Lepisosteus oculatus: one gene and its partners. The protein of the gene in region 1 binds, or shares a complex with, the protein of each later gene. Links are inferred from orthologs where the notes say so. Each region holds a gene or a part of one and is shown on either strand. Other genes may lie near its edges.

The links.
Region 2: the proteins of bach1b (region 1) and fbxl17 are in contact, whole or in part, in a cryo-EM structure (PDB 8UAH), measured with the Homo sapiens proteins. The link is inferred for Lepisosteus oculatus from reciprocal best matches to the Homo sapiens genes BACH1 and FBXL17. Residues at the interface, in NP_001177.1 of Homo sapiens: Val20, Leu21, Ser23, Leu24, Gln27, Val32, Leu33, Asp35, Phe39, His48, Arg49, Ser50, Val51, Ala53, Ala54, Cys55, Ser56, Ser57, His60, Ser61, Arg62, Val64, Asn72, Thr74, Pro76, His116, Asn117; in NP_001156787.2 of Homo sapiens: Asp395, Arg421, Asn447, Gln473, Gln498, Glu499, Met524, Arg548, Cys574, Leu575, Tyr598, Val600, Ser601, Asp623, Trp626, Met651, Arg652, Val676, Gln678, Asp679, Cys680, Arg682, Thr683, Glu685, Gln689, Trp692.
Region 3: the proteins of bach1b (region 1) and fbxo22 are in contact, whole or in part, in a cryo-EM structure (PDB 8S7D), measured with the Homo sapiens proteins. The link is inferred for Lepisosteus oculatus from reciprocal best matches to the Homo sapiens genes BACH1 and FBXO22. Residues at the interface, in NP_001177.1 of Homo sapiens: Ser7, Val8, Phe9, Ala10, Tyr11, Glu12, Ser13, Ser14, Val15; in NP_671717.1 of Homo sapiens: Asp366, Gly371, Asn372, Phe373, Ile374, Leu375, Arg376, Lys377, Cys378.

Annotation. Positions count from the first base shown.
Region 1 is NC_090700.1:19,451,501-19,458,465, forward strand, and holds the start of bach1b (transcription regulator protein BACH1b), read left to right. Parts: upstream 1-3,865; 5' UTR 3,866-3,993; intron 3,994-6,775; 5' UTR 6,776-6,787; coding exon 6,788-6,965. UniProt on the Homo sapiens protein: Transcriptional regulator that acts as a repressor or activator, depending on the context. Binds to NF-E2 DNA binding sites. Plays important roles in coordinating transcription activation and repression by MAFK.
Region 2 is NC_090698.1:57,058,830-57,066,865, reverse strand, and holds the start of fbxl17 (F-box/LRR-repeat protein 17), read left to right. Parts: upstream 1-5,030; 5' UTR 5,031-5,239; intron 5,240-7,637; 5' UTR 7,638-7,657; coding exon 7,658-8,036. Other genes in the region: prxl2c (peroxiredoxin-like 2C), read right to left, coding at 1,913-2,018, 2,358-2,411, 2,953-3,021, 3,407-3,586. UniProt on the Homo sapiens protein: Substrate-recognition component of the SCF(FBXL17) E3 ubiquitin ligase complex, a key component of a quality control pathway required to ensure functional dimerization of BTB domain-containing proteins (dimerization quality control, DQC).
Region 3 is NC_090700.1:57,539,950-57,547,716, reverse strand, and holds the start of fbxo22 (F-box only protein 22), read left to right. Parts: upstream 1-4,699; 5' UTR 4,700-4,779; coding exon 4,780-4,910; intron 4,911-5,812; coding exon 5,813-5,945; intron 5,946-6,181; coding exon 6,182-6,269; intron 6,270-7,767. Other genes in the region: lactb (serine beta-lactamase-like protein LACTB, mitochondrial), read left to right, coding at 1-70, 590-755, 2,099-2,621. UniProt on the Homo sapiens protein: Substrate-recognition component of the SCF (SKP1-CUL1-F-box protein)-type E3 ubiquitin ligase complex that is implicated in the control of various cellular processes such as cell cycle control, transcriptional regulation, DNA damage repair, and apoptosis.

The DNA of each region.
Region 1 (6,965 bases):
CATACTCCACCCAGATAGTACCCAAGGTCTAGAATTGAACCCAGGGTCCCAGCGCCGCAAGCCTGCGAGGCAGCAATAACAAATGTGCCAGTCGGGTTTAACCTAAATAAAATCATAAAATATCCACAACAGCTGGTAGAAAATGGCAGGGTCTGGTATTCATTTTAAAATCTCAATGTAATGACTTAATTGATTTAAGTGAGCTCACTATTTGGATAGGATCAGACAGTCAACCTACTTGTAAGATCACCAGTGAACTGATGCTTCGTTGGGTTTCATTTGCTAAACGTTATCTAAAAGTACAATCTTCAAGACTCAGGTCCTTGAGGACAGGGTTCCTATTCTCTGACAGTCATTACAATGTTAATTCCAAATGTACGGTCAACTGACTGATTCCTATGACTCCTGGCAGAGCTTTCTCTTTAGGGCTGTCTTGGTATCAGTTTGCTGAGGTGCACTTACTGTATCCTCAAGGAATTATGTTGTTGATAACATCTGACATTTTAAGACAAATAAATTGTGGTGCTCTGCACAAACATCTTAAAATGAACATTTCTGTTTATTTTAGTGATGTTTACACTATTCAGCGTTGCTCAGTTTTAATGTTATGACATATTTATATACTCAGTTGTACACAAGCCTCCATTCATTCACTATCTAAGCTACTGGATGGAGTGTACACACCACACACTATTACTAAGACCAGCTGAGAGCCAACCTATTATATGAATGGGGTGTAGTTGGACTGCAGATAGTTCAAGTTCCATGAGACCTCCTGTTCAACCTTTTCTTACTGGTCTCAAAGGACCATATGATTACTCAATAGGGATTCCTGATATCACTATATACTTTTACATTAATTTTAATTTAGAGATTATTTAAGTTCAAATGCCTTGTTTTTAATCTTGTGTTGTTGTTTTTTTAATTATCCTTTATACAAGCAGAAGAGTACAATGCTGTCAATTTCATACTTTCAATGATTGTTACACTATGAAATGAGGAGCTTAGTGTATTGAACTGAAGAATTCTTTTTTTAAAATCACAGAAAAGGAAACATACTTGCTTTGTTTCCTCTGTACTAATAATTCTTCCTGATATTTGAGAGACAAATGAACAGTTGATCTGTTTCTGTCCTTACCCCTGTGACTGTGTTATGTGTAATGTACTGTACAAAATGTAACACTTTTGCCCAAAACATCGACTTACTTTTACACAATCCGGGAAAATTTATTTCACAATTCAGCCAATAACTCCGAAACAACCATCAGCTGATCGTGGTTTCTCCAGGAAGCTGCATGGATGACAGCATTGGCGGTGACCTTCAGTTTGGGCACTGCCCCTTAAGGAGAACATCTGCTTGATAAATATGGATATAGGTTCAATCAAAAATTACAATCACACATCGCAAATATAAAAGCACAAGATGTATCCTGCAAGAGGAATGCTATTTTACTATTTATTAACTTAGGCTTAACTTGGCTAATGATTTTATCCAAAACAACTTACATTTGTATCCATTTATATAACTGTATATTTTCTTAGAGCAAATATGGGGGAGGTACCTTGCTCAATGTTACTACTGCAGCGTCTCATCTGAAGTTTGTACCCACATACCTCCAGTTAAAAGTCCAGAACCCTAACTACTGCTCTATCCTGCTTCCAATGTTAATAAAAAAGTATAAAAAGATACAGAAATTAATGTTGTTGCCTGCGCAAACTATGAAATTAAATTTGACCAGGACATGAAATACTGGGAACCTCACAGTGGCGCACTGTGCATTGCTGCCTCACAACACTGGGGACTTGGGCTCAATTTCTGGGGTGCTGTCTGTGTAGTTTGAATTTTCTCTCAGTGTTTTCTTCTGTTTTCGTCAAGTTCCAGTTTCCTCCTACAGTCCAAAGACATACTAGTAGGCTAATTTCCTTTTGGGAAAATAGGCCATGATGTGAGTATGACTATGTTTGTGTCTGTGTGTGTTCTTTGACAGCCAGGCAACCCATCCAGGGTGTATCCTTGTGTCCACTGCTTGCTGGAATAGGCTCTGACTTCCCCACAACCCTGTGCTGGATAAAATGGTTACAAAATGAATGCATGACAACACCACAAGATCTCTGTAAGATCTTTTTAACACATTAGTTTAAAGACAAGAGCCTAGGACATTAACAGTCCCAGCAAATAAAAAAATACACATCTCCCAGAACTACAGCTTTTTCAAAACAGAAGTCAAATGTGTAAGCAGCAAAACTGTAAAGGAATCTCCTAGGAATGTCTTCTACAGTTTTGCTTTTCTAAGGCAATCAACTTAATAACCACTCTTGTCTTTAGTCTCATAATCACAAAGCATGGTTTTCTGCGACAAAATTAGTTCTTAGAGTCTATCTTAAAACCAAGCGAACCAAGAAAACAGATAAAACACTAGATGCTGCTGCTTTTAACATCTGTAGTACCTCAAAAGCAGTATTGCCTAAAGTTCAAGATAATAAGAATTATCTTGAAATGTCTAGCAAAATGTTCACAGAAAAATAACTTACATTTCTGCGTGGACACACCTCGATATATCTCATAGATAGCTGGTTGAGCAGGTCCTTTCAAACAATCGCTCCTTGTATACAAAAAAATCTCATTTTTTATTTTATTGTGAACAACTGTAAGTCACTTTTCTGATAGATAATCAAAAATAAGTAAAATCTGTCATAGTTCACAAAATGTTAGAGCATAAAACACTATTGGAAGAATGAGTAGGTACAATTCAACACAAAACACAAATTTAATGCACATAAAGCAAAAAGACAAAGTTACATTCAAATGAACACTTTAAGGTCAATGTAGAGTGAAATTAGCATTTTTTTTCTTTCAAACCCACATTATATCACATCTGTCAACGTCCGCCTCCATTTATAACTTTCAAATTCAGTTAGAATGTGCCAAATTATTGGAAGCCAGAGATTCTTAATAACACTTATTTGTCACAGTCAAGTTACTTTTAATCTCACCTAATGTACAACTGGATCTTCAAATCAGACTATTAATTGGCTCCTTATATCTGCACCCATTCAGTACAAAACTCTTGTTCTTAGTTGCTCCTACCTCCAAGACATTTTTTAAATGCTGGATTATTCGTCTCTTTTCATTCATTTCTAACGTCGTCCTTCCCTTCATTCTTCTGACTCTAAAATTGTTTCTCACATTTCTAAGCGGAGGTTGCTGCCCTAATCAACCCAATGGCCTTCCTAAGAACCAACAATGAAGCAAAACTAGAGGACACGTGATAATCAAGAATAAACATTTAAGACAAAAAAGAACTAAAAGTTTTAACAGTGTGGTTGTAGTCTAGTACCTTTCTACATGGTTTTGACCAGGAACATTTAGAAATAGAAGATTTTGAATTTTATAAAACTTGCAAGTCTCAGAAAGGTTTTAGTTTATAGCGTTTTTAAAAACGTTTATAATTACTGACACACGTTTAATACCCGAAATACCTGTACGGAGGTTGTTCCTAAGGTGCTTTGAATACGATGTGTTTAAACCCCCGAGTCCATGTTTAGGTAGTATTTTTATTATCATGCATTACTTTAATTTTTTCGTGTTCTCACTCAGTGCAAAGCACTTTTGATTTCTGTCGCTCTGCGACCGTCCCTTGATAGGAAACTGATCGTGCCAGCCTTCTCTGAAAATGTAAAGAAAAAAAAAGGACTCTGAAAGTAAACCCACAAAGCCACCCAGTTGAAGCTTATCAGTGCCTGAAACCGGAAGTGAGGGTTTATAAAAATACACGAAGCTGGCAGCCATTTCGGCCAATAGCAGGAAAGAGCTGCACGTTAGAGGGCGGGACGAGGACGCCCTGGGTTAAAGTCACATGATCGCAGCCCGAGCGAAGGGCTTGCAGTCAGGCAGGGTTCTAATGGGGCTAGGTAGTAGGAGGATGTTTACTGCCACAGCACGGGGCTCCTTGGTAAAAGTCCGAATCGATTCTTGCTGAGGAGATGTGACAGGTTAGTAAGACTCTTTTGGCATTCTCTCGCATGTCAGGGTTAATGTAAACAGGGATCGAAGCGCTCGGTGCCACGGAGTGTCTTGCGATGTGTTGTGGTGGTACGGAGGAACTTTGCAGTTGTCGGGCTGGGAGGGGGCATTTGGGAGAATCCCAGCCTTTAAAGTTTCGGTAGGCCCAGCAAATGTCACGGTGAAATCTGTAGCTGTGCACGCCAAGATGTGTATTTGGTAAGGCTAATTTGGATTTTGTCGTGAGTGACAAGCTAAATTTGTGTCTTTTCCTGCAGTGGTAGTTTATGGTTGTTAAGAAATTCCTTACTCGGGCAAAGAGGATGATAGTAGTAGAGACTTATTACGGTAGGAACACATGTGATATTTAGCTGGTGCCATTACTATTCGTTACAAAATGACCTGTGTGTTTCGTGCTAACTGGACATCTACGAGAAATCATTTAAACAAAACAAAAACGTGGACGATCGTAGTGGTCTGTTTGGTCTGTGGTTAGTAAAGTCTGCCATCTCAGGATAACTATCTTCCTGTTTATTTCACGTCCCACTTTTCTTGTGTAACAGGGTTTCATCATCGAGAGGGGGATCAGAGTGTACACACTGATACAGCATGGCTAACCGTGGCATCTTAAACTATTCGCCTCAGCTAACGTTTCTGGATTACAGAAACCCGAAAATATACGGTGAAGGGTGTCGTGTGCCAAGCAGTTTAAACAAATCCGGGATTCGCGTTGGGATGCGGGGAAAAATACTTTGTTTCTCTCTTACAAGTCACGATTTAGAGTATCTTCTTCCGCACGAGTTCAGTTGGAGAATATGATGTGGCATTACATATCTGGAAAGACGTTACGCAAACCATAGATAAAATACGGGTTGTATAAAAGCAAACAGAGCAGGTTTCTCTTCCTCTTTTTCAAACCGCTTAAAAAAATAATATCCAAGGAAATATACATGAGCTGCAAGAAAAAGGCTACCATGAAATACGAAAACGCGAAGCTTGGGGCTGAAGGGCTAGCCTTTCTAGACACTGTGTAGATTATTATTTTAGTACCTGCACCGTTCACCAGATGACATGATGCATATTTTAACAGTGGAAACCAGTCTCCGACATTTGTTTACATGCTCAAAAAAAGAAAAATACATCACCCTTTTCAGATACCTTCATCATACACTTAGCAGTTACAGCGACTAGACTACTATTGTCTCGTAATAATATATCAACGAATGCTGCCTCGGTTAGGTAACGAAGTTGTTTGCGGGAACTAATGAACGGAGAAGCAGGAAAATGCTTGTTCATCCTTTATCAGCAGAAGCGAGTGAGTCAGCACGCTGTTGCTTAACCACACTGCATGACTTGACATCGCTCAGCTGTAGTTGCGCCAAGCTGCAACCTGCTTCATTTAATGAAGCGTTGATCTTATTTTAGGTTTTAAATCGCATTGGCTTAGTAGTAGATATGCATATTATTTTAAATGATTTATACTAGGTCTTACGTTGTTTTAAAGTTGTAAATATTTTTTTTCTCATCTATTTTTGAAATATCAAAATTCACACATCCACCCATTTTTTTTACCACTTCATCAAATTCAGGTTCAAGGGGGAGACGGAGCCTATCCTGACAAGGAGTATGCACACCCTAGCCGGGACTCCAGTCCATTACAGGACATGTATACTCATTCCCATAAGCCAGTTAACCTGCCAGTATCTTTTCGGACTATGGGAGGAAACCAGATCATCCAGAGGAAACCCACACAACATACAAACTGTTCAGATAGCACCCCTGGTCCGGAACTGAATCCAGGGCCCCAGCGCCGTGAGGCACTAGTCCAAAACACTATGCCCATAATTCACACATTTGCTTTCACGCATAGAACAACACTGACCTCCTTGATAAGATGGAATACAGACGTGCAGATGTTTTCTTTCACACTGTATAATACAATCAAATCTACCAAAACTGAGCCACAGAAAGATGTGTATCAGAGATGAAATACAAAACCTTTCTAGTTGCAAGTCTTGAGGTCTGCCTGTCATGACTGCATCTCAGACTGATACAGGATCTGTCTGCCTCAGGAACAGCTAGACAGACTGGCTTCTCAAAGTCTGGTGTAGATTAAGGGAAGGCAGTTGGATCTGTAGAATTTTACATTTACACTCTGATGTGTGGCTCTGGAAGTATTTTATGGTTTTGTGTTGTATTGTGTACATGGAGGTGACGCTGTAATTGGGCAAAGCTGAATAGTTTTTTATAGTAGTGGCAAGTCCTCTGAAAGCAAGCAGTGTAACACACTAGCTGGCATAAATCCTTTAACTCTGAACTAAATCATCCAAACTGACTGCAGTGACTGCTTGTAGTTGTGGTCTTTTTTTGGAAGGTACAACACCTGATCCATTTTCAGATTAGTTATATTTTTTCTGAAGTGGGCAGTGACAGCTTCCGCATTATTCCTTGAGTAAGGGAGGTGATTGAACCCTAGGGTCACAGACACACCTCCAGAGGCTTGGTGCTGGCAGTTGAAATGAGCTCCATACCTCCACTACACCCATGAACCGGGTGCAGGGGACAGCCTTGAAAGACCTGGCATTTTCTTTTGAGATACTTGTTGCATTTTAGCACCCACAAAGAGCAAATCCAATTGAATGCGTAGTGCACCCATGTAGAAATCTCCAACGTTTGATAGCCGCACTTCAAAAAAACCTTTCACTACAACATTGTGCAACTCAGACAGAATTTTGAAGTTTGACTGCGACAATGTTTTGCATTTTCTTGCAGTTGTACCGCACAATGACTTTCGAGAGCATAAGGACGTCGACCTTCAGTTACCAGTCCTCGATACACAGCTCGCACGTCCTTCTGTGCCTTAACGAGCAGAGACAGAAGGGGATTCTGTGCGATGTGACTGTTGTGGTCGAAGACAAGAGCTTTCAAGCTCATCGCTCGGTGCTTGCAGCCTGTAGCGACT
Region 2 (8,036 bases), on another chromosome or scaffold:
CGGGTTTATAATTCCTTTTTAGTTTTTTGGATGGGCAATAAATTAGCAATTCGCAGGTAATTTATAAGTAAATTTTTGTTCATGGATGGTGAATATTACCTCTCTTTTGTGTCCTGGACTCTACCTGTAGTTTCGCAATAAACTTGACAGTACACTGTGCTATCATAACAGTTCCTAATGATTCTCACACCTGTTTTCTACATGCTATCTTGTAGACAAATATGGGCATTCCCTTTTATAGGTGCTGTGTCAAACCATGTAAGGACGCAGTGAGTAGCCATTTAAAATATTTCACTACTTCTGCAGTTGGTTTTCCCAAGACATTGTGACTATGTGAAAAAGTCTCTCATAAAGACTACTTCTTCCTTTACAAATGCATTGCTGACTTCATTTAAATAATGTTACCTTCGAATCAATGTCTAAATGTTGTGGTCTGTAGCATACTTCTAACATTGTACATTTTGAATGTTTTTATAAGCCTGATCCATACTGGTTCAGAAACCCTTGATTCCTCTAAGTTAATATCCTGTGCCTGAATGCTCTTTTTGATGTACAGTACTGTGCATTGCTACACCTCCTTATCTTCCATTGTTCCCATCTCTCTGGAAATCTGTGGATCAACTAATGTTGTATTGGTCATCATCAGTCTCTTTTAGCCATAATTCTGGGATTCCAATTACATTATATTCAACCTCTATAAGCAGTAGCTTCTCTCTCATGCATTTTCCTTCAGCTCTAGTAATGACTAAAAAATACAAAAGACATTTCAATTTTGACGGAGGCGTCCATTGGTGAAAGGTTCAATAATGAGATGATCACTACCTCATGAAGAAGAGGGCATTAAGAAAAGGAGGCTAACCAGTACCAAATAACTGTGAATCTTCCTAAAATGCTGGCAGCAGGGCGATTTCAGTAATCTGATGTATACTGCAAAGTTAACAGACCATCTTAAAAAGCTGAGATATGAACTTGCTGAAAAGAAACTTATTGACTCCCCAGAACCAAATTATATCAAATCCCGTGGTTGGATGAAACACAAATTGAGATTGTGGATAGGCTCGCCAGCAGTACAAGCAGCATCTGAAACGTGAAAAATGTTTCTTTCTCACATTGAAAAACAAATGTCCTGCCCTCTGTAAAGGAGATAAGTGGACCTGTCCTGCTTTAGGGCTGTTTTCTATTGTCTGGTCCAGATACGCTGCTCAGAATGGAGGGGCAGGTGGAGTCCAAGGTTTACTAGCGTATTTCAGCCAACAGTGTGTGCCGTCTGTCAAGAAACTTAAGTGTGGTCTCAAATTGACTTTACAGAGGGATACCACTTCGAAGTCTGCACCACACTTAATGACCAGATGGTCACGAGAGCGCAAAAACCAAATGATAGGTCATGATGTGTCATTGCAGACTCTAGCAGGACACTTATGATATGATCTGAGGAAAGCAGATCACAAGTACAGACTGCACAAGGTGGAGAAGCTGAAGAGGCTCAGCTCTGGTCAAGAGGCTGAAAGGTTGAAGAATCCAGTCATCAGAGCCAAAAGAGGGATAGAGAAATACTCCTCACCAGGGAATTCAAACATTTCTGCATTAGTTATTTGCAATTTTATTGATGGATGTTCTATTTATACACATATTATTAAAAAAGGAAAGGTTAAATCCATACAGAAAAGCAGAAAAAAGGCTTTGGAGTCTTGTTCGGGTGTGTGGTCTCTGTAGCTGAAACGTTTTTTTTCCTCCTTTCTTTTTAATTTTCAGTGTGAAATCAACCCCTGCTTGTCACTTTGCAACTCACACACCAACACAGCTCCCTCTTTAACTTCTACAGTACTGAAAGTCATCTAAATCCTTCATTTGTTATTTGCACGTATCTGGAAGATACTGTATATAATCTCAAAATTAAAAAAAAGAAAATTACCTGACTCTGTGAACACCTCCCCTTTCTTCATTCCAAGTTTTTTATAAATTTGCCTTTCTGGATCAACATATATTTCATGTGGATAGCCTGTCAGTGCGCAGAACGCCTGTATGTATGACCCATATGTAATATAAGTAAGAGTGATGCATAAAAATACACAGACACGTCTAGCATTTTCTAAAGGAGAACATGTACTTGATGTTTCAGATGAACTGCAAATCTGTGGTGGCCTTGTTAACAACTTTCTGGTAGCAAGGAAGGGTATAACATTGCAGAAGGTCTGATTATGACATTAGTGAACAAGAGAGGACATTTCACGTTATGTTTAGAAAACAGGTCACAGTAGGGTACTGAATGCCACCAATTTGTATAGCACTGTGTTAATCATAAATTAATACAATGTTGTAATGTAACTGACCTATCTCATCTTTTGGAACACACATACCTCAATGTGATGGTGTGAAGACTGTCCAATTACTATCAACCTGACATCAGCATCCTGTTGTTGAAATAAATATGAGTTTAACCATGATATTCTCCACAGAACTATATATTTTCTACTGAAAAGGAGCAGAAACTCTGGGAATTTAGGATTTAAATGCAACTCTATGCTTTGGACATATATTGTCACACGGTTAAATCTTTTAATATTTAGAATTTCCTCTAGAAAATTATTTTTACGATTTTGAGGGTCTGAACCCCCAGCCCGGCCTGTGCAAAGCCCCAATCCAGTTATTCTTACAGGTCATCTGTTTTCAAAAGATTGCCAACAGCTGTAAAGATATTGATGAATGAAGCAGGTGGGCTATTCATTAAAGTGAACTTCTGGCTCCTGAGAGCTGAAATATACTGTACTAACAACAAGTGAAAAAATAACCTTTGCTTTTTTATTCCCAGAAATCTAAGCTCTTTTATGAGATGTGCCTTGTAATAAGGCATTTTTGTTGTTTGCTGGTAATTACCATTCACATTTCAAATAATGGAAAATAATCAAAATAAATTTAAATAACTTTTAAAAATGTAATAATTCTACTACTTACTGTGAGGAACCTCTTAGGTATTTTGGCCAGATCTTCCACATACTCTTTGCATGTGTAACACAAAAAATGCTATAAATTCAAAAGTCAAATATTTAATTTGAAACAATTAGAAACAATTGAACATAGGCTATTTATATTTTAGATGCAAAATCCACGACGAACTATTTTACTTCAGTTAACAAGAGTTCACAATCGAAATGAAAGTATACCAACACGAGAAAAGGGTGCCATTTCGGATACTGCTTCCAATGCAATCATTTAAAAATATACGTATATAATACCTGCATTTTAATAAAACACCTCTGGTTTAATGTATCAGCACTATCCTTCTCACTCGTAAGGCAGATTTCCTTTAAATCGGATCTCTAATGCTTGTATTGAAACGTTTGAATACTTCGGTATTAAAACAGGGCTTTTACAGCATCGGAACTGGTAGCAGAAAAAAGCTTCTTACCCTAACGAAAATAACGATTGATTTCTTGTCGTCATATAAACTTTTAAAAGGAATCCGTTTCCCGTGCCGGTTGTAAACAAAACAATCTTCAACCTCTGAGATCGGAATATTAACCGGGTTTTTCTGGTGGCCTTGCTGGGCTCTGGCGATTTGTTGTGTGACGGGAAGATCTGCAGCCATCTCAATCCATTTACAGTACAACTTTTTTTCCCTCAAGTCTTGTCCGAGCTATTTTGGGCTTGCTTTGCAAAGTGTCCAAAAACTCAGAAACCACTCCCACAAAATTAACAAGTTCATGTGCAGTGAAGTAACCGAGTTCATGGAGAAATAACGCACATCTGGAAACAGAATTAATACATGCCCCTATGGACTACTGATAAATGTTTACTGCATCTCGATTATTTCATTTTACTTTCTTAAGCTTTTCCTTCCGATCTCTATGCGTCTGTGCGGCCCTGTGAAGAACCGCATTTGGTAAAGGGGTTTCATCGCTCCTGCTACAAATAACTGGTTAATTGACAAAAACCGAGTTATTGTCGACTTAAGATAAATCACTAATGATATGCAGCAACAGAACACTGAAAAATATTAAGCCTTATAGTTGTAAAATATACCGTATATCTCATGCTATTTCAGTAGCCTTTTTATGACGCCTAGCGACAATTTGGCGTATTGCATTTTGTGCATTTTTATGACAGCGCGCTGTTGTTTGCAACTACTAAATATGATAGTAATATAGTACCAAAAATAAAACAGTGCGTGGAATCGACAACACTTCACAGACAATGCTTTCAATTATCGGTCTGCAGACCGAACAGTTAGCGACATGTTTCTGAAGAAGGACCGATTTCTCATTCCTTTATTTAAAAAGAAAATCGAAATTCAATAAAAATCAGAGCAAAATTGGATATTCTGCAGCCCTTGTCCAGTCTCTGTATTTATCTTCAATTGTGTTAGCATGTTCATTTATTTTAAGTATTTTAAAATAAATAATTGTTGTCATAAAAGCATACATTAAAGCTGAAAAGCAATATTTTGAATGGAATCGATATAATTTTCTATGTAAAAACAATTATGTCTTTACATACAGTAGTCAGGCTTGTGTTCCCAACGTTTCTAATTGGTTGGCAGACATCTAGCATAAAGGTTACCACGAATTCTTTATTAATTTGACACGCAGTGCCAGGCTAAAGTGTATGATAATGAAAAGTACGCATATGCTGGAAAATAATCAGCATTTCTGATATTTGTGAGTTGCTTTTATTCCAAATGATACGCCACTGATTATTTAATCTACCGTGTATTAGACGAATTTCCTTAGGCAACTTCTTTCTTAACAAATAAAACGTGAACGGTAGCAGTTATAGTGAGTATGACAGAAGACCTCCCTCCCTTCCTACCCCTTCAAACCATGAAACCTATTTCTTATGTGTGTTTTATCTTAGCGATACAGTGTCGTTGTTGCTATGCACGGAGGCGGGCATCACCAACTTGACGGACAAGGTGAACATGCAGTCTGTGAAGCCCTGGCTTGACTGACAGGGAAGTCCTCCAATTAAAAAGCAAGGAAAGAGGCAGTACTCGTGAGTGAGGAACAGGGAATTTTCCAATCACTCTTTAAGCAGGGGGCAGGATTTCCTTTCTTGTGCTTATTCCGGAACACTTTCCACAGAGAGCAATAACATATATATGATGTGTGTACACGTTCGTACATAGCGTTGTGTCTGCAATATTTTAAGTCTGTCGAGCTGTTGGTGGTGTTTTATACGTGGATTATGAATGCACGGGTTGAAGGCGACTGGAATTGTGTGAACTGGTTGAGAAAACGTTGCTGTAAGTAAGACGAACTGTTCCTTCTCATCAAATTCAGTTAGAAAGTTGTTTTTTTTTTCTTACAGGTTAGACATTGCCAGCTGAATGTGTTGTATTGCTATATATATTTTTAAAAACTTACAAAAAACACTTAACGACCTTGCCTTTCAAGCCTGTTCTCGTGTTCCGAGATGTCTAAATCATTTTTGTCATGCACGAATTCAGCTTCTCGAGGTGAAGGCAAAATAATGATTATTTTTGCTGAGTTTCGAGGAAGGCCCAGTACTTACGGTGTGAATAAAAATTGTACTAAAACAAGTACATGTCAGGTCATTGCTGGCAATACCCCTGTTAATTTAAAAGCAGCTCGCTGCATAATATAGTGTGGAGCCCACGGCTCATGTATTTTGAATAATGGTGTGTGATCAGTTCTAGGAAGAAGTAAAATAATAAATTTGGTTATGATTTATGCAAGGCATCGATGATAAAACTATAGTTATTTTATTAGACGAACATCTGGTACCTGCAACACTAAATGCTGAAAATTGCATAGTACCAGGATGCCTGAACAGTACTATTTAGGCAGTTTTCAAGATGTGTATACAAGAGATCAGTTGAAACCAATAACGCTCTTCAAAATCCCGTCCCAAACTGTGTGGTGTGTAGAACTACCGAACAAGCACATTTGAAGCCTTAAAATATTTCCAAGATTTTTGATGTATGATTTTATAAAGGCAGTTCTACTACTGCACTTGTGGTAATAAACGCAATGATTCCAAAGTTAATTTAATATGTTGCTTTGTCTCCAACAAATTCAGATTTCGTGCAAAAAAGATACAACAGTTTTTGGAATGTGATTTTTGTTAGCCTTTTCCTGTAGTTTTGAATGAACAGCGACCATAAAACTCAAGGCAGTAAATGCGCTTGATCTGTCCAGTCTCATTTTTCAGCACATTTAAGGTTACTAGTTTAGCATTCAGGTAGGTTTCTGAATAACACCCATAGCACCAAAAACTGCTTTCTAGGCTTGATCACCTCACCTGCTGTCTTTGATCGCCATGAACTACTGTATACTGTTCAGACATCAGTGGTGCGTTTGTTAGAAAAATGCACATATTCCTTTCTTCCTTCAGTGTTTCTGTGGAAGGCTTCCAATATTATTGATTCATTGTTGAAAGTGAATATGCACCTTTTTTTACACTAAGCATAATGAATTGGAGCACATCAATTCAAAGGACAGTGGATCCTAACAGAGCAGCTTAGCATTTAGGGCCATGTTCACTGGAGATAAAATGCACGTGTAGTTATTGTCATCCATAACTTGGCTGAGGAGCCAATGATGCGAAGCTGCCATCTGTGGGATTATGAGTGAATGTCTCCCAGTCAGGATCCCCTCTAAAAGGTAGGGAAAGGGAAAATAGTTTTCTGCAGTGAGGTGTCACTGTCTATTAAACCTTATCAGACTAAGCTCAGATGATACAAAGGTCTTTGCCTGTATGTGTGTGAAAGTACTTTGAGAGTACTCAGATTGCTGTTTCACATCACAGCACATCACATCGGTGGGTGGAAAGCAAAGCTCACTGCTGTTGTCCTAGATAGCCTAATGGAAACAACACTTGGCTCTTAAATGATTGACAACACAGTTGTGTTGCCTCTTGAATCGGAATAACAGAAAGGCTGGTCAGCCAAGGCCTGGGGAATTAAGAATGTAATTCCCTTCCAAAATAGAAATAGAAAAATAGAAAATAATTAACATCATCTTACAGGAACAGGATTGGAGCAGTGCTTTAAGAACATAAAAACGGTTTAAAAGAAGAGGAGGCTGTTTAACCCCTCTGGCCTGCTTGACAGCCAGTAGCTAATCGATCCGAGGGCATCTCATCCAGCCGTTTCTTGAAAGAAGCTTCAACATCATGGCAAAGTTGTCATGTGGAACACGTTGAATCATAGTCAACAGGTGTTTGTAATGTTAGTAGCCTGAGTGTAAGCAGTCCTGTTTGTGATATCACACAGTTTGTGTAGATATACAAAACGAGCAATGTTTGCACGGCTTGATTTTTGATTTGCCATCTGGTCGACATTTTAGGCTGCTCATTCCGAGTCCCAATTACTCAAGCTGTGATGAATGAGCGAGCCCCTTCAGAGTGCTTGTATTGACAGCGTCTTGTGTTTTTTGTACTTTTTCTACTGCATTGTATGATTGAAGTTGCATTGATTGTATACATCTTATAAAGTCCGTTGGAGGTTTCCTGTAAGGCATGTGCAAGGCCAAAGGAAAATGTCGGCTGTCTGTAGACAATAAAGCGGATTTTGATTCCGATTTTCTCCCCAACACCCATCTTGGCTGTAAGCGAGCCACAGCCTTACCTTGCCTTTTATCTGAGAGTGTGTTCCCCCCCCCCACTGGGCTTTTCCACAGAGGCACCCTGAGTCATCTATATGGGCCATCTTCTCTCTAAAAATGGCAAGCGCGTGAAGAAGAAGAAGAGGAAGCTGCGGAGGAACTGCTTTCTGCACGGGCCGTGCATGCTGTGCTTCATCGTCCACAACCCCAGCAGCCTTGCCGAGGACCAGCTCGAGAGCGCCTCCAAGCTCGCCGAGAGGTACGCCGCGCTCGGCTCCCCCGAGGACTGCGCCCGCTTCCTCCTGTCCCCGAAGGAGCTCGCCCTGTGGGAGGAGCAAGGCAAGAGCCTGCTGTCGGGCGTCCCCGCCAAGCTCTTCCGCACCGTCTCCGCCGGCGACTACTCCGAGATGGTCTGCAAGCGCAAGTGCCCGCCGGGGGCGCAGAGGGGCGCCCCCTGCAAGCAGGCGCGGCGCG
Region 3 (7,767 bases), about 38 Mb from region 1:
AAGGAGAAGTTTGACAGTGTCATCCAGGCCCTGGACCTGTTTAAAAATGACCCCCTGATTTTCAAGCCAGGTGACAGATGACGACTGTTCTATAAAATTGGGAAGGGTTGCTGGGTGAGACAGATAAACCATATCAAGTATCTTTAGGAAATGTGGCCGTTTTCACTATAAAATTCTCTTCCTTCTGATTCACACATGCTAATTCTGCCCAAGAAATGACATGTGTCTATGTGGTTATCTAGATATGTTTTTTTTTTCTTTTTTGGAACTGCTTATTGGTCTCTCTATCTTCTAAGAGAGGCACAGGGAGAAAGGCAGGTTATTTAAGTGTCTCAAAAAAGACCATGTATGGAATATTTCATTTAGGATATCCTTTCAAGAAAAGCTTTTTTTTTAGAGAACAGCGCTCCTTGAGTCCAAAGGCTTCAAGTGGCAATTGTGCATATGCATTTTTCTTCAGCATTTCCTAAAATTACATTTTGCAACTTTAAGGGTCCTCATTTTCCTTCGCACAGTTTTCTGCAGCTGCAGTTATCAAAAATGGTAGTTACCGTGTGGGGCTGAAGCAGCGCGCTGTCTGTGTCTGCAGGCAGCTCTTTCCTGTACTCCACACACGCCTTCACTCTGCTCAGCGCGGTGGTGGAGAGGGCAGCAGGACGGCCCTTCCTGGATCACATGATGAAGATGTTCCGGGAGCTGGGCATGCTGAACACCGTGCCGGAGGAGAACGACCGCATTATATACAACCGATCGAGGTAACGGAGAGACCTGCAAAGTCAAATTTCAAAGCCTGCTGTTTAAAAAAAAAAAGTCTAAATTCTTGTGGTTTATTTTGCATGGTAAGGTTTGCTTTTTGTTGAAAATATTGCACTAATGCTGAGCACTAAGCATTCAGTGCCACACATGGTATTACATCTTTCAATTACAGCTTCAATTTCTCATTCCATTCATTTCTCACTCTAAGGTTTCCGATCACACCTGGTTTGATTTCACTACTTTGGCTTCTTATCCATAAGTTCATTTCTTTTAAAAATTAAAACTCCCAAAACCCGAACCACTGTCTATGACCAAAGGATTGTCTTCATTGAGATTCTGTCACGTTAGCGTTGATCATTTCAGTTTCCAGTCACTGGTATCTAGATGACTGAACTCTTTTAGCTGTTCTGCATCTAAACTCTAAAAGCTGTGACCCCAGGGAAACACATATGGTTAATTTGCAACTTATTTGAGATCATTTATATTTTTGTTTTTTAATATTTGCAGTCTCTTTGGGCTGACTCAGATGATCTGTTTTTGTTTATTACTTCACACTGTGTAGTGAATTGGGATGCCATCTGCATATGATTTGCATGGCACAAACTAAAATGTTGGACGTCAACAAACCCTAAAGATCTGCAATGCAAATAAAATTGCAACAGTGCTTTTTATAGTTTCACATTAAGGGAATATGTGCCTGTAAATTTTGGCAGCTGTTTACTATGCCATAATGTGGGAAAATGTCATGTTAATTGATTTCTGGGAAAACTGGCCCTGGTGTCAGTGTGTGCCCTGCGATGGACTGGCATCCTATCCAGGGTGGATCCTGTCTAGTGCCTGTTGCTCACCAGGATAGGCTCGGGCTCCCCTGCGACCATGGATTGGAAAAAGCAGTTCGAAAATCGATGGATACAAGAGTGGTGGTTAGCATAACAGCTGCAGGGTACTACAAGTTGATCCAATTCTGGTTCTCTGTGTCGGGTCCATGTACTGTCTGTTTTTCTGTTGACTTTTGCCAGGGTGCTCTGGTTTCCTCCCATCATCCAGAGACATGCAAGTTATGTTTACGTCTTATGAGTTTGTCCCCCTGAGAAAAGCAGAGGGGTTGTACTCGTTGTTAGTGACTCGGGAGCAGAGCAGCTCTGGTATGTCACTCTCCCCTGTGACTGGTCCTGTTTTTGGGACGGCTCTAAGCAAGCAGGAGAGAAAGCGTTGAAAGGCTGATTAAGGAAACCCATGTGGATGAGTATTAGATCTCATTAACTTCTCATTAAATGAGAACATTACTTGTCTTTAAGTGGGAATCTAACACCATCTGTGTTTTTTTTTCCCCTCTTTGCAGGTTTTATCATTTCAACAAAAAAGGCCGCATTGTGAACTGCCCTTATGTGGACAACTCCTACAAATGGGCAGGGGGAGGGTTCCTGTCCACTGTTGGTGACTTGCTGGTGTTTGGCAACGCCATGCTTTACAGCTACCAAATGGCGCATGTTAAGGATGGCAGAGGCCTCCTGCCGGGCTACCTCAAGCCCGAAACGGCCAAAGCCATGTGGACCCCTGTGGATGGAACTGAAGGATCCTGGGATAAGGATGGGCAGTATGCAATGGGCTGGCTGGTGGTGGAGGAGCAGCAGCAGTTTGGACAGTGCAGGAAAAGGCGGCACTATGTTTCACACACAGGGGGAGCTGTAGGGGCCAGTAGTGTGTTGTTAGTCCTGCCCTTCAACCTGGCCCAGAGCGAGGGACAGACATTGGCTCCTCCACAGGGCATCGTGGTGACTATTATCAGTAACATGCAGTCTGCCGGTCTCAACAGCACTGCCCTGAAGATCGCTCTGCAGTTCGAGAAAGCCAGGAATGCTTGAGAGAGCACAGGAGGCTGTCTTTGTGCAGCTGGTGCACCAATCATTTTGAAGTAAAAATGCTCGTATTTGAGGTCTTTTCTGTATTCGCAAGATTGGTATCTTTTGCAGTATTAAAGGAAGAAGAGGATTCAATTTTTAATGTCATTTTAAATACATCTAAAAACTGCTTTAACAGTGGAAAACACGTGGCTAAAAAAAAACATTTTATTGTTGAAAAGGCATTTTTTAAAACTTCAGCATACCTTTATGTTTAATCTGTCCGAGTCTGATCCATTAAAAAAGTTTTTTGTCCACTGACTGTTCATGTTTTACACATGCTGGGATCACAGAAGAGTCTGAATCGATGTACAGTACAGAAGAATTAGGATAGCGCCACGGTTACTGCTGCCAGCTCACAGCTCCAGGGCGGTGGATTCAATTCTAGATTGGGGTCCCTTTTTTGTGGGGTTTGCATTCTCCCTTTGTTCTCGTGGGTACTTGCTCGGTGCTCCAGTTTCCTCTCGCCTGCCAAAGACATGCTGGATAGGTCAATGGCATCTCTACATTGAACCCCCTGTGCTTGTGTGGATGCCCTTCAGCTGTCACCCTATAAAGAGTGTGTGTGTTTCTGGGACAGGCTCAGGGTGGATGTGACCCTCTCCAGGAATGCGTGGCTTTCTCTCAGTGAATAGGTGATCATTCCCATGTACAAAAACAGAGTAATGTCAGAATCTGCCTTTCCTACCTTGAATACTGACTCCCTCATTGAAAAATGTAAGCTTCTCACGACAGTTCTGTAGTAACTCCTGACATACACTAAGTTCCTAAGGAATAGAAACTATGGCCATGAAGTGTAGGACGATATTGTAGTTCCGCAAGTGCCTCTCCATGGTTATCTGCATGTGTTTTGAGTTGTGCACTGATTATAGACTTAGCCCAAAAATATTGCATTTAACTGAGCCCCAGAAATGTTAGTTTGCTGAGAGAAACATTTGACGCAGTTTCCTTGTCAGGAATGTGACCGTAGTATGAAATAATGATGAAATACCATGTTTTATGTGTAAAACTTTGACAGCTGGGGCATTCGTTTAGGAATTAAATTGACATACAATTGAAATGTATTAAAATTATTTTTAAGAAAAAGCCACATTTTTCTGGCACTCAACTTTACATTTCTAGTGTATGTTATGAGTGCCTGAGACTTAACAGATTTTCACATATTTGTCTTTTGATTGTTCTTGTACATTAATTCATCCAAGGAAATATGAATCTATGAACCATTTTACCTTCACTTATGACATCAATGTACATTTGTGTAACAAATCTACTTTGACAGCACTGCACAGAACAGAGAAAGTTGATCTAATCTTTAAAGATAACTTTTTGAATGAAATATATTTTAATTATTTTATTAGCACAACCCCAGCTCCCCATACATACTTACCAAGGCAATAATGCTGTCAGTGCACCTGCAGAGGTAAGGGAAATGCTGACTACGGTACTGTGGGTATTGCATGAGATTTAAGCTATCATTTGGTCTACATGAGAGACCTGTGGACTATAACCTCCTGTGAGGTGATCATGTGAGATTAAGATAATGAACTCCAATATAAATTACCTACATAAAGTTTGTAAATTTCAATGAAGGTATATTCGCTTTTGAATACTGATAATACCGTTGAGAAGGTTTTAACAGGGAGTAGGACTTCAGCAATATTTGTTTTGTACTCTAAAGTGATGACCACGGTTGTACACAGTAGTAAAATTACATCTCATTAGTGCACTGTACATTTATACGTGGTGGTCCTTGGTTTAAATGTAAAAATCTTTAATTTGAATTTGAATACGCAATTTCATTTTCGATCCAACGCTGTTTAGAACAAGTAAAATATTTAACATAATTATTTTTAATTTCCTTTGCAGCTTCTACAGTGTTTCCCGGTTTAATAATTTGAGAAATTGACCTGTCTACCACCTACAGTATATCTGGATCTAGATCCGTTAAAACTGCACTCCTGTTATCTTTGGGCACAGCTGTGGAGGAGATAAAATAATGTACCACTAGGCGGCAGTAAAGAAATAAAACGGAATAAAAATGGAATTGTTCACTTCCGATTGATGGTGAGTTCAGGGGTCAACATTGTTCCCTGGGGTTGTTTTAGACACTCGGAAGTGGAAGATGGATGCAAGTGGTGAATTTTCTATTTCAGCTCCAGAAAGTAAAGCTGGATATATACTTAGTAATGTGGCCGAGGTGGTGGAGAGGATTTTGACATTTGTACCGACCAAGTCACTTCTCCGTACCGCTTGGTAAGTTCAGATTCTCGTTTGCAGGACTTATTAACAGTCCCTGTAGACTTCCACTCAATGTTTTCTGCAGAACACGGAGCCTTGAGACAGCACATCGGCGATCTTGAGTTTTATTCATGAACCCGGCTATTTTTTTTAATCGAAAGATGTATGCATAAAGGAGATCAGAGAAAAGCTGCGTCTTGTGCTCTCTAAAGATGTAATGACTTAATTGTATTCAGAATCTCTTGTCTTGTTCATATCCTGTACTCGATCACGCTTGGGTTTTTGACTGCAGAGCCCTTTATATATGTAGTATGTTTGAGAGTTTCTTTGTATTTGTTTTTTTCGACATTTAAACGCAAAATACCAAGACGTCTTGCTTGTGAAAATGGGCATGTGATATATGTGATCTGGCACCGCAGGAAGTCTGCGGTTTCACTTACTTGCTGAAACATTGTAATCTGGTATTTTTGTATCTGCTTGGTACGCATTGATTAGCAGTACAGCGCATTGTCTTTACAAGCAAGCAAAAGGTTTGAAAAGACGTGATGTCTCATGCCTTTTAAGGAAAATCTGGTATTATAGATAAAAATTCCTGATGTACTCCAGCAATTGCATAATTCACCTTGAAAGTGAGCTGTTTTTACTCCCTTTCCTTGGTAACTGTAATCCTGAGGACAGTTGTCTCCTGTGATAGCTGTTTAACAGTAGAAAGCCGACCTATTTAGTGAGCATGATATTTTCACTACATCTTCCACCTTTGCTGCTTGAAAAGCACAAACAGGATTTCTCTTTAAATCCTTCAAAATCAAAAATGCTCTGGTAAACCAAATGCCTTTTGTTGTTGTTGCTGTGTTATAGAAGGACTTCTTTTGATATTTATTGTTTTGCCTTTGTGCTGCTGTCGGCTGTCCCGGTAGCGTCTGCAGACTCTGGAGGGACTGTGCCCGCAGGGTGCTGAGGACACAGCAGAAGATGACCTGGGTGTCCGGTACTGGCTCCTCCAGCTCGGATGGACATGTCTTGTTCAGGACTCTGGCAGAACAAGTAGAGGTAAGGGGACACTCCTCTGTGAGTGATCTCCCTGGCTAGCTCTGTTTTCGCAGTCACCTCCGTCCTGCACTCTTTTTTATGAACTATTTCATAAACTATTTCCCATATTAGATCACATTAACGTATAATGTCGAAGCAGGTGTTTGCAAGCAGTGTAGATTGGAAAGCAATTGCTTTGAGCTTTAAAGTCCTTTATCTGGGTTTCAGTAAAGGAATATAAATGTGCTGTTTTGCAGAATGTGTACTTGCTCCCCCGGACAGTCCTCCTGATGGCAGACAGCGACACCTTGAACAGACCTGATGGCACCTACAAGCAGAAGAAAGGTAACAGACTGGCTCATGAGGAGTCCTGCTCTGCAAGTATAATTTAAAAGTCTTGGTTTCCCGAAGGTGCTTTGATGTGAGGTTTATAATTTTTAATTAATAATTGCTTACACATCTATAGCACTTTTTTGGACACTCCACTTAAAGCGCTGTACAGGTAATGGGGATCCCCTCCACCCTCACCAGTGTGCAGCTCCACCTGGATGATGTGACAGCAGCCATAGTGCACCAGTACTCTCCCCACACACCAGCTCTCAGTGGGGAGGAGAGCAGAGTGATGAAGCCACTTCATAGATGGGGATTATTAGGAGGCCATGATTGGTGAGGGCCAATGGGAAGTTTTTTAATGACCACAGAGAGTCGGGACCTCGGTTTTACTTCTCATCTGAAGGACGGCGCCTTTTTACAGTATAGTGTCCCTGTCACTAACCTGGGGCATTAGGACCCACACAGACCTCAGGGTGAGCACACCCTACACTCCCCATTAACACCTCTTCCAGCAGCAACCTTGGTTTTTCCCAGGAGGTCTCCTATCCAGGTACTGCCCAGGCTCACACCTGCTGAGCTTCAGTGGGCTGCCAGTCGTGAGTTGAAGGATGACATGGCTGCTGGCTGTTTGGGGTTGTCATACTATTTGAAGTGTGCTTGGCTAATGAAGTCATAGAACAAAATCTAAAATGATTTTGATGCCATTGGACTCAAAGTACGTCTCAGCCAGCAGAAGTGCTCAGTTGGAGCGCAGGTTGAGCACTGTGTGCCAGGATGGCATCATGTTTAAACCTGGTGACATGACCCGTGGAGGCATGGAGGCACACAACTGCCAGAGCAGGGCAGTGCCTGGATCCTCACGATTCCCAGTGCCTCCGCAGCTCCTGTGACCAGCTCGAGCCTGGCAGGCCTGCAGTGAGTCAATAAAAGAGCCGGCCCTCCCGGTCCTCCTGCACCAGGCCAGAAGCATGCGCCCATCAGAGGAGTGTGTCTCCAGACAGGAGGTGCTCCCCATGTGGACACAGGGTTTATTGCAAGAGAACTGCGCCTTAAAACAGGTGCTGATTCAAAAATAGGTAGGCACACAACAACAACAAAAAAAGTCAATGCAAAATTGAATTAAAAAAAAAGGACATTTTAAATACCCTTGAGCGAAATGTAAATGTAAAACAGACAATGGAGAAGTCATGGTAGATTTCTTCTGCTGTTTCACCTTAGCTGTAGTGTTGTGTGGACACAGACGTAATGTTGCATGAATAGCAGAACTCAGATTCATTAGAATATCCCACTGTTTCTGCAGGTTTAATTTTGTGGGCATACATAAATTACTCCACTGGCCGAAACTCTTTGAAAATGTGTATAATACGAAACCTAGGAATTATGTCTAATATTTCTGGTAATTAATATTGAGCGAGTCTCATTTAACATAATTTTATGTTATCAGATGATGTCTCTTAAATTTTCAATTTAAACTTTTTTTTTTTGTTTTTAGTGTATTGCGAACCGCGCT